3 linked regions of the Oreochromis niloticus genome follow. The protein of the gene in region 2 interacts with the protein of the main gene of each other region in a pairwise test. Links are inferred from orthologs where the notes say so. Each region holds a gene or a part of one and is shown on either strand. Other genes may lie near its edges.

The links.
Region 1: the proteins of bbln (region 2) and atp6v1d interact in binary tests that used the Homo sapiens proteins (3 or more experiments, as listed by UniProt). The two-hybrid records come from large-scale screens. The link is inferred for Oreochromis niloticus from reciprocal best matches to the Homo sapiens genes BBLN and ATP6V1D.
Region 3: the proteins of bbln (region 2) and thap11 interact in a two-hybrid assay, tested with the Homo sapiens proteins (2 studies listed by BioGRID and IntAct). The link is inferred for Oreochromis niloticus from reciprocal best matches to the Homo sapiens genes BBLN and THAP11.

What each region holds. Positions count from the first base shown.
Region 1 is NC_031980.2:14,225,921-14,229,675, forward strand, and holds the start of atp6v1d (V-type proton ATPase subunit D), read left to right. Parts: upstream 1-1,546; 5' UTR 1,547-1,741; coding exon 1,742-1,782; intron 1,783-3,627; coding exon 3,628-3,745; intron 3,746-3,755. UniProt on the Homo sapiens protein: Subunit of the V1 complex of vacuolar(H+)-ATPase (V-ATPase), a multisubunit enzyme composed of a peripheral complex (V1) that hydrolyzes ATP and a membrane integral complex (V0) that translocates protons.
Region 2 is NC_031972.2:20,471,788-20,475,542, reverse strand, and holds bbln (bublin coiled-coil protein), read left to right. Parts: upstream 1-1,170; 5' UTR 1,171-1,411; coding exon 1,412-1,490; intron 1,491-2,271; coding exon 2,272-2,543; 3' UTR 2,544-3,185; downstream 3,186-3,755. Other genes in the region: surf2 (surfeit locus protein 2), read right to left, coding at 466-540. UniProt on the Homo sapiens protein: Essential for intermediate filament organization in intestinal cells, interacts with intermediate filament and regulates intestinal lumen morphology.
Region 3 is NC_031965.2:22,654,932-22,658,460, reverse strand, and holds thap11 (THAP domain-containing protein 11), read right to left. Parts: upstream 2,563-3,529; 5' UTR 2,533-2,562; coding exon 1,702-2,532; 3' UTR 552-1,701; downstream 1-551. UniProt on the Homo sapiens protein: Transcription factor, which has both transcriptional activation and repression activities. Also modulates chromatin accessibility.

The sequences.
Region 1 (3,755 bases), on a different chromosome or scaffold from region 2:
CCAACTCTCTTATGTAAGCGCACTTGTAGCTAGATTGAGATGACAAATATGGGGACAGACTTACTATTCCCCAAATCTTTTGCTTTCAACATCCTGTTGTCCCTGTAACCTGAGGACAGCAGCCTACCCCCTGGAGTGTTTGACCCTTAGATCCTATCACCTTTGTTTTCCCATTCTTTGATCTCAACACTCCTGATTTAAGACTCTAGATATTGTATCTTGTGCCTCTGTTTAACATTTACATATAAATCATCCTCTAGTGATAGTCGTCTCCTCCCTTCCTCTTGTGTAAACCACTACGAATGCCATGCCTCTTTGGTGGGTCAGAGTCGGCTCATCTTCCAGGACCCACTATCTGGGCTGGTATATGGCTAGTCCATTTCTTTGAGAGTTGATAAACTGTGTGTTAACTTATTGTGATGATAACCACCTTGATGTGATATCATGGGTATGCAGGCCACAGACAGGCAACTGGGACACAATGTCAGCAACCACAAGTACTCTGAGTTTGAAAAATGCTGCAGTCAGCCAATTAACATCAATCCCTTTCTACATCAGAGTATTTTAACTATACACTGCAGTGCCTGTTCATGAAGTATATTCAGCTACCAGTAAAGACATCCGTTTATGGAAGAACACTGTAATGAAAAGTATCATTTTTTCTATTTTACTCAGATTTTAAAATATTAGTTGCGGTCATTTTTAGAGGCTTTAACCTGTAAAAAGACTTTGGCCATAAAGATGTTTTCTTTCTAATCCTTAGTCTACTATCAAGAAAGGTGTGGACAAAATAGTAGAGAGATACCTTTAATATTAAACGAAAAGTCCCAGTCCGTTTGAATGGAGCCACTTATCTGTGTTTCTATGTTTTCCCACTGAACAAAAGTCAAAGCCCAGGTTTAGCTTATATACAAATATCCAGGACATAAAATAAAAGCAGGGAAATGAAACAAACTTCTGCCATTTGTCTTTTTCCCCTGTTGCTGTGAATGGACTGATGTAACGCATCATCATCGCAGAAAAATCACTTACTGTTTAAAATAGAGAATCGGCGACAAAATATGGACACAAAAAGCTGCTTACCAAATATTTAGTACGTGTTACCAGCGACTGTATGACTTCCTAGTTATCACATTTAAAACCACGAGAAGAATGTTCATTCAAGCGCAGAAACGCTTTCTTTCAACATCAGTTAGCTTCCCAGCTAATAACCCGGTGCCCAGCTCACATGCGGCACACGCAGGCTAAGCTGTTAGCCGGCTATCTGCCAGTTCCGATCGTTCCCCAGTCCCCGCCAAACGACATCTTCATAAAACAAACTCACCTGTGTCATAAGGTTACAGAACGACGCGCCTGAATGTTCCGTGCTGACTTTGTTTAAATGTCAGATTCGGTTTTCTTTCTGGTGTTTTGTTTTTTTTAATGAGTAACTCAGGCCCGCTAGCTCACATTCATGGGTGTGCTAATTTGTCGACCCGGAAAAGATCGTAGGGACCTTCCACACGCGCGCATGTGCGGAACGAGATTGGTTCTTTGGTCACATGACGCGGAGGGCCAGCTGATCATCGCCGACAAGATCACGACCGTCAACTCGATCTGCTCTTCTAATCCTACACGAAGAGCGAGATTTTAGCTGTTATATGTCTAGATTAATAATTCAGGATTCAAGCTAAAGTTGTAGTGTTGATTTAGGGAAGCGGGAGTGAACTGAAAATCGCAGTAATCGACAAAAAACGGAAAGATGTCTGGAAAAGACAGGATCGACATATTCCCCTCCAGAATGTAAGCAGCTTGTGCGATGGCTAGTTGCTAAAGCAATGTAGCTTCCTTAAAGCTCATATACCACTGTTTTGTTGACATATTTGCTTTTATATATGAAAGTTGTGGATAATTTTCTGCATGCATTTGAAAAGCAGGGATCGCCGTTTTGTTTTGTGCCAAGGTTACCGTTTAAAAGAGGAAGAATCCTTCTGCTGTCATGTGATATTTCTCACATTATCCAAGTGTGAGCTGTCAGTCGGAGCGACTTCATTTTAACCTAATTTCACCTGCATCCAGTTATATTAGATTTACGACCACTGAAACAGTATAACACAGAGGTTTGACCCTTTCATCAGCTCCTGGGTGCAAATATCAGTGAGCTGTGTATGTAGAGGAGTGGTGCAGATTGTGTTGATCCTTACCTTGTTTTAAAAATAACGCTATTACACAAATTACAGCATGTAACACCTTCTGTCCGTAGACTCTTGGTTCAGATAAGATCTCCTCCCGAAAAAAAATTCTGAAAATTCTGAAAATTTCTAAAATTCTGAAATGGTAAAAAACAGAAGAAATCTCAGGAAAATCAATGGGATCTCTCTTCCAGGATGGGAAGGGATTCAGCATAGAGCAACGTAGTAAATTTATATTAGAGACGATCAGGATGACATCGTTAACAATCTAACATGTAACAATCTGTGAGTAATGTGACACAAAAGTGGGCTTGAATGTTGATGGCTGTATGTTTTCGGCTGCTCCCTTATTCACAAAGAGGGCTCCACAGAGGATGGATCCCCATATTTATCTGGTCTTAATCCAGGGATCTCTAACCTTTACACTATGGAGCCATGTTAAATTCCAGCGCAGGCCTAAGGCAGCCTTATTGCATATGAGTCACCTGCTCAAGTCTGGAAAGAGCTGGGGAAAGATTGTGATTTGGAAATTTTTATTTAGCCTTTATTTAAATTGAAAGTTATCAGTCATGATAATTTAAATGAAAAGTCAATGAGCAGTCAATAACAAGTGAGTTACAACTACTTAGCTATTTAGCAGATAAAATTCAACTTGTCAGGAGCTCATTGTAAGGTCTCCCACCAGAACTACAACACATGGACTTATGCATTAGCTAGATGAAAGAGAAGAACAGATACTACTACTTATTCATTTTTTAAGGTAAGCCAGCAAATGGCCAGTTGAATTAGAACCCAGGCCTCCACACTATAGCCCTATAATATACAGGTTTGCCTGCTAAAACCAGTGAACCACACTGGTGCTCCAGAACAAACTACTACTCTTGACAATTAGCATTTAGTAGCCTGATAGAAGAGGGAACAGAGGAGTTTCAGTAGTGGTTTTTTTGTCTTCATGGGTGCATGATAGCCCTGCCCTGAGGGCATTGAAATAAACTCACTAGAGAGAATGTGGCCACCTTGACTAATAAGACCCTTTTCTTTCTGAACTACACATTTCTTTGGACTTGGTACTCTTGGAGTATACGTCTTTAATAATGTTTTTAAGGCTGTTCCTGTCCTTCAGAGATGACCCATTGAACCAGTATATGACATAAAATGATGAAATGTGGAAAATTAGAAGCAAATCCATTAAAAAAAAAAAAAAAGAGCTTTAACAAGCATAGAGGTCGAGAGAGAAAAGAGGAAAATCTGAAATGCCGGTTAAAAAAAAAAAAACTGGGGTGAGGGTATCAACTACCAGGGAAGAGAGACAGAGACCTTGGGATGGCCTAAGGTCTGAGTGAAAACATGACAAGGAGATGAAATGAATGAAACTTGGTTGTGTCATTTTACCCCTAATTTAACTGTCTGATTCAAATAGAGTGTTAAAAATATGTGGGTTTCTCTGGATTTGCAGGGCTCAGACCATCATGAAGGCTCGGCTGAAGGGAGCACAGACCGGCCGCAACCTGCTCAAGAAGAAGTCCGATGCCCTCTCCATGCGCTTCCGTCAGATCCTTCGCAAAATTATTGAAGTCAGTTTAA
Region 2 (3,755 bases):
CAAAATCGAAGGTATAAATAGGGCGTTTTTATTGGCGTTAATGTTTTGGTCAGTAGAGGTCGGTGGATCAATCCAAATATCGCTAGCATTGATACCAACACTGGTACTGGCATCAGACTGATACTAGTGCAAAAGGATCGATACTTTCTTTCTATCCTCTAAGATCAGTATGTAGCTGATTGTATTAAATTGATGATAATTCTCATCATAAATCATGACACACTGCTCTCCCTGGGATAAGCTGCCTTTATAAGTTCGAAGTATCGGCGATACTGGCTCTGTATTAACTTGTTACCTGATCGACACCATAAATGGCAGTATTGCACACCGCTGTTGGTCAGCACTCTTTACCAATCACAACATCAGAACACCTGGCTCATGCTAGATCAATTTGCAGGTTAGCATCACGTTCGACATCAGCTCACACGAAGTGCACGTGTGACGTGGAGAAATCTGCTCGCTAACCTTTTTACCGCCTGTGAGCTGAAGAAAGGGGTGATTCAGGAGGAACTCTCTGAGGTCCGCAGGTAACTCATCCATAGTTTAGAAACACTTCAAAACAGCTCGTTCAGCGTGTTGACGACGACAACGCTTCAACAAGGAAGCTCCCAACACGTGGGCTCACTGCGCAGACTCTGTTGTGTGATCTTGGCGCCATCCAGCGATCAAATCAAGTAAAACCCATCTTACACGAAGTTAGCCATTCACCTCTCTCATTTGGCATCAGGCGATCCTTTTATCGAACAACCGGTGTGATTAAACAAACGCAGACAATTGTCTGCAAGAAATAATGTACACGGTCCTTGATATACTCCCCTCCCCCTTTTTGCTACCTTTAAGAAACTAAACCTTAATCGACTTAAGGTGACGACAGAGCCCAGTCAGCTGACTGCAACCATCTGACAGGTCAGAGAGCATTACGGAAGACAGACAGCCCACTCTGCTTGGTTTTCATAAAACTACAGAGTAGCCGACATATGAGCGCATGCGTGAGCTTTGAATTAAAGTTCATAAACCAGTAAAGTAGACACCTGTAAAAGTAAATAAAACTATTTTATAAATCTTCCTAGCATGGCTAGTTTAGCACATTTGTTTTACTCGACTAGTCACTGGAGACTGTGGACAGAGTGAGTCATCTCGCTTTGGAACCAAAACCACGCCCACATTTCTCCCACAATTCCCTGGTTCCGTAAACAAATATCGGAAGCTAGTTGTTTGAGATGTCGTGCATACTGTGAATTAAAATCTGACAATAGAGCTAAAGTAGAACCCAGAGAGCGCTGTTGTTGTTACTTACAATTACATTAAGAGCGTTTAGTAATGTTACTGAGCTAGCTGGCTAGCTTAATAGCATAACTGACGATATTTAAGGTTCCTACTGTTTCTTAAGTACACGTATATATATATAACAATGTCTGGACCAAATGGAGATCCAAACATCTCTGCTGACGATGGTATTATAAACGACGAAGATGATTTCGGCGAAGAAGGTAAAACAACAAAAGCTTTCATTGTAACTAATGCTAACAATCATTAGAGCAGCAGGGCCGCTCCAGTGATTTTTAGGTTAATTTTAATTACGTGTGGAGGTATTTGTGGGCGTGATTTAGTTTTAAATAAAAAAGACAAGTCGATCCTTAATACTTTAGTAGGAATTGATGGGGTAATTAGCAGCCATGTTCAATGAATTGAAGCAACTGTAAAGATTCATGGGCCAAAGTTCCTCCAAAAGAATGTAGGACACTGAGAAGGTCATACAGAAAACAGTGACTTCTGCTTAAGGGCTTCCTAAAAACTGTTGAATCATGGGTTGTGCTTAGACCTGCACAGAGTCAGAAAATGTTCTGAATAGGTGTCACAGTAACTACACTCAACATCACTTCATGTAAACATCCCTGCCTGATTAAACACCCGCACCAGTGCCTCTTCGTGGCGGTTGTGTTGTCAAATAAATGTTGACCTTCATTTTTTCTTAAGTGCAGTTAACTAAACTGGTTTTCACATCTGCCTCATTTTCAGTTTTAATTTTCTTTAATAACCTTGGTGATGAATAATGGACTGTTAAATTGGTGGGATGTTATTTTTTATTTAAAAGAAACAAAAAAAAAAAAAGGTAACTGAAGCCAAAAACTGTCCATTTTCATAGCATTATTGTGTCTTTCATTGATAACAATATAAATTTATATGATCTAAAACTGTTAAACTCTTTATTCAGTCGTTGCTCTCTAAATTGCCAAACAAAGCAAACTAACCTGTGCTGCTCATCCACAGAGTACTCTGCCATCAACAACATGCTAGATCAGATCAACTCTTACCTCGATGACCTGGAAGAGCGTAACGACGCTCTTAATGGCAAACTGCACGAACTGATGGAGTCAAATCGGCAAGCTCGACTGGAATTCAGAGCCCAGTTGTTGGGCCCCCCAAAGGAGGAGGATGTGGAGGAGCACTGTCCCACAGCAGATGGGGAGTCCTCCTCAACCAGCAAGGAGGACATAAACGAGGATAAAGAAGGCTTGCAAATGAATGACATGAATATTTAGATCAGGAGGTTAAATTAAGGAAAAAGCCGGGATAGATATATTATGAATGTTGACTCAACTCCTGAAAGCTGTCATTTGGACTAGTGACCCTTTATCTTCATAGTTGACGCTCACATCAGCAGGCGTGTGCAATAGATTACATCTCTTCCTTTGCAGAGCTCATTCCGGTTTCTCCTTTGGCAATGTGCCGATGTTCTGGTAACTAACCTCAAACAGCTTCTCATGCAAGCTGGATGTTACATCAACTTCTTTAATTTCACTGCAGACTTTATAAATCTAAAGCCAGATGTGCCGCATTGTATTGGGTAGAAAAGGCTCTGTAGAGATTTGTACAGAATTATGTGGGAGGTCACAATGCCAAGTCCTAAAGCAAGAAAACGACTAAATATATATTTTTAAAGTTGGTATTAAAACATGGTCTTTGATAAACAAGGTTCAAACTACAGGATCAACCTTAAATCTTTCCAGATTCTGGAGCTAAATATTGTTTTGATACAGATTTCATATCAACAACTTCTCAAGCATTTGAGTCAGTCCTTGTTAAACAGAGAAAGACTCCAATTGAACTTCCTCAAGTGTTTCATTGCATTATTAGCTTTGCAATTCCTATACTCTCCCAAAAAGTAAATAGGAAGCATTCAACACTCATATGTATTATAATGCTTGTTGTGCATCCTAACTGTAAACGCTGTGCTTTGTTCAGTGTCTGTTAAGTGTGAGCTGTAAAATCAAAAAAACGAAAAGTTGGAATTATGAGACATTTTTAATATAAATTAAGATGACTCCCAAACAGAAAACAAACATCCAAAAATACAATAAACTTCCAGCAGTTAGAAAACATCACCAGTTTGTTCATCTCAATTTGTCAGTAGCTGAATAAAAATACAATAAGAAACGTACAGCTTTGTTTGAAGTCATCCTTTACATGCCCTTTTTTTTTGCCTCTCCCTCTCTCCGTTCTGTTTCAGAGCTTAAAAGCACAGATTAGATCACGTCTCCTTCATTCAGAGAGAATACAACACTAATCATGTGACAGTCGCTGACGTGACTACAAGGGTTGCTACGTGTGTCAGTCAGTCCTCTGTGGTTTATAATAGGCTTCTCTAAAACACAGGGTGAAATGTTCCAGAGCAGAGCGCTGGTTATGAAGGAAATGGTGCTTCCTATTTCACCCTCACCTGTGAGTAACACCTCTGGATAATCTACAGGACT
Region 3 (3,529 bases), on a different chromosome or scaffold from region 2:
AGCCACAAAAGCAAGTTAAAACTCTGACATGCAAAGAAAAGAAAACACACAAAGAAGATCCAAAAACTCTGATATGTTCTTGACGTCCAGCCTGGACAATGAAGTGAAATATAAAGCGGTTTTCTGACCACTCAGAATTTAAAATTCCTGATAGAAGTAATACTTCGCATCCTGTGAGCTAAAGAGAGAGATTTGTAGACCTAAAGTCAGCATCTCTGTGATGCAGAGCTATTAATCTGCACAGAATATCTAACTTGTCCATCTGTGAAGACACCACTAATGCTAAACAATGATGATGATGATGATGTAAAGTGCCCTGCCTGCAGACCAGACCTGTCACCCACTCGCGACAAATTCAAATCCAATTAAATTTTGGGTGTGAATAATTTTAAGATCACTGCACTTTACGTGACGATTGTAAACTGTAAGGTTTCCAACACAAGTCTTTTATAAGTTTATTTCATACAAATTTTATTATTTTGTCCACAACTCAACACAGCTGAAAAATATTGTAATATGACTTACAAGAGCCACTGCAAATCTTCATCTCATTTTATTGTTTTTTCTAAAACAAACCCCTCAGCTGCAGTCTGGAGATGAGATCACATGAGCCAAACCCCCCCAATATCAATGAAGGTTTAAAAAGAAAACAACAGAAACACTGTCGGATCCTTTTTTCCCACCAGAAGTCTCTAAAATGCTGCTATGAGACAAAATGCTTGTTGGCTTGAGAAATAACTTGCCAGTCTTAAACAATGAGCTGCCAGATCAGCTTCAAAAATATGAAATGTTTGTAATATCCTATGCTTAAAACACTGATGAACAGGACAAATATGTGGCCACTAATCATCTGCGTGGAAAATAGTGAAGAGGCACGTAAAATGTTTAAATAACACCAAAAAAAAGAAAAAAGAAGCACGTGCTGCTTCCCAAAAACTATGGAAAAAACGTCCCCAAGAAGCATCCTTTAATAACAATTCATTTTAAGTGCCCTTTAAAGCTTTGAGGAACTTCTTCAAGTCTTTTTTTTTTCTTCTCAGTTGCAAAAATACTTCTAGCAACAAAAATAATGGAAATAATCTTAAGGTACCTTTAATGGTAACTCTGAAACAGTCGTGGTAGAGTTTTATTTAGTTCACTACAACCATAAGCAGGCCAAGATTAGTGTTTTGGTTAAAACAAAATCCTATAGATACTTCATCTTGGCGCATTTTTGCATGTTATTGTGGGGTGTTTTTGTTTTCCTGTTTTTGCAACAAGAGCCTCCTAAACTCAGTTGGAAAAACAAAACAAAAACAGCTTAAGGACAAAAAACACTTTATGCAGCTAGGCAGTTTTGAGCATGTTCCTCGCCGGTGTCCCCTCAGTCTGTCCCGTCATAAATAAGTCAAACATGTGAGTCTGTGCAAACTACGAGTCTCATCTGAATGGATTCATGTGATCTTGGTTTGGCTGCAGACCAGAGGCGGACTGTGCATGTTTCAATGAGAATAGCAATAAGTTTATTACTATCAGCTACATCAACTAGCCAGCCTACAAAAAAAAATAAACACAAATAAAATAAAAATCAGCTCTACTTGTTGAAAATAAATTGTCATCGCTCTCAGTTTCGTAGAAATCGGGGCTGGATCTGCTGTCTCCTGCTCTCCGTCAGTCTGAGTCTGTGTAACGGCTCGTCTCCGGGGATGTTCACCCATCCCATCAGATTTTCTTCCGAACGTTAGCAGCCACCGTGTTGCCGTACAGCAGCCGGTCCCGTTCCCGCACTTCCTCCTGCAGCTTGGCCTCCGCCACCCGGAGCTGACGAATGGTCGCCTTCATCTCCTTCATCTTCACCTCCATGAGCGCGATGATGTCCCGCTGATCGTTCAGCTTCCTCAGCAGCTCGGCCGACGTGGTGCCGGTGGTCAGAGAGTACGAGTGGTCCAGCGGGCTGCTGGTCACGCTGACATACTGCACGGGTGCCGCCGCGGATGAGGTGTCCGCCTGGGAGTCGCCAGCCGTGACCTCGGCTGCACCGCCGACCTGCCCCGTGTAAGAAGTCCCCTCCGTTTGGACGGGCAGTCGCGCGGTGCCCAGGTACTCCCCGTTTTGGCCTATCTGCACCACGGTGATGCTGTCATCGCTCGCCTCCCCACCTGCGTTGGCCTCGGCTCCTTCTGCGGTGCTGCCCAGCACGGTACTGGTGACAACAATCCCGGAGGTCGCAGCTGCGGCGGGCGCGGGAACCGCCGCGGACACTTTCCTGCCTCTGCCCCGCCGACTTCTGCGCTCATTCACCCCTCGCAGAGGGAAGAGGGACGGCACTCGGATGCTGTAGGTTTTCCTCCCGCCGGCGAAATGCACGCTGCAGACTCGGTGCCCCGTAGTCGGCTGGAAGGTGCTGAAGCAGCCGCTGACCCCGGCCCGGGAGATGTTCCTCAGCCACTGCTCTCTGAGTGCGGTGTCCTTAGGAAACGTGTAGAAGCGCAATTCCCGGTCCCGGTGCGAGTTGTTGTAGCAGCCGGGGACACAGCAGGTGAACCCAGGCATATTTACTTCAGCGCCGAGGCTAAATCTGCGGCCTTCGGGTGAATTTAAGATTATTTTATTTTTGTTTCTTTATTCTATGCTATGTTATCAAGCTCGGCGGCCTGCAAGCGGAACTACACGTCCCACAACGCTAACAACTTCCTGTTTATTTTTTAGCAAAAGTGAGGCGCTCTCCTTCGTACGACGACTAAATACACCCGAGATTAGCCGGCCGCGGAGCACACGAAGCTCTTGCATATGCTGAATTCACGGCTGCTGTTTTATTTTCAACGGTAAATGTTTTGTCTAGTTCTTAGCTCTGTTATCAGGGTAATCGTCCCCCACTGAGAACTAAAAGTCCCACAATTCCTTGCGCTTCCTGTCCATAACCGTTAGTGATATAACGCCTCTGCTGGTCAGTGTGTGTAATGACACCGTTCGAGTAGGCGTGTGTGTAAAGAAAATACTATCAACGTGTTAAAAAAAAGCAAAAGAACTTAATTAATTATTGATCCTTTAAAACAAACGTATGTGCAATCAGAAATAGCCATGGAGAATAACACACGTTTTTAGATGGACCAATTTTATGAAATTCAAGGCTAATAATTTAATGTTCTGCTTTTTCTTTTGGCTTCTCCTTTTAGTTTTTGCTATAACAGATCATCTGCCTTTATTTCACCCTATCACTTTTATCCCCCTTAATCACACCATCAGCCACTGTCATCAGTAAATGTCATTTTGTGAAGTCACCGTCAATAATAGAAACAGTGTATCCCCACCAGTATAAATATCTAATCAGCTTACATCTAATAAGTATCCACAGAAGGTGTATTGTATTGAATCTTTATTTTGAACATGTTAAAATATAGGAAGAAGCATAATCTTATTTAATCCCACACCCTTTCCACTATTTAGTAATTAATAGTCTACACTTTTTCTTCCTGTTTATACCCTGTCCATCAGAAATTCTTCATTACAATAACATTACATGTTACATATGTTTTTTCTTTATTTATTC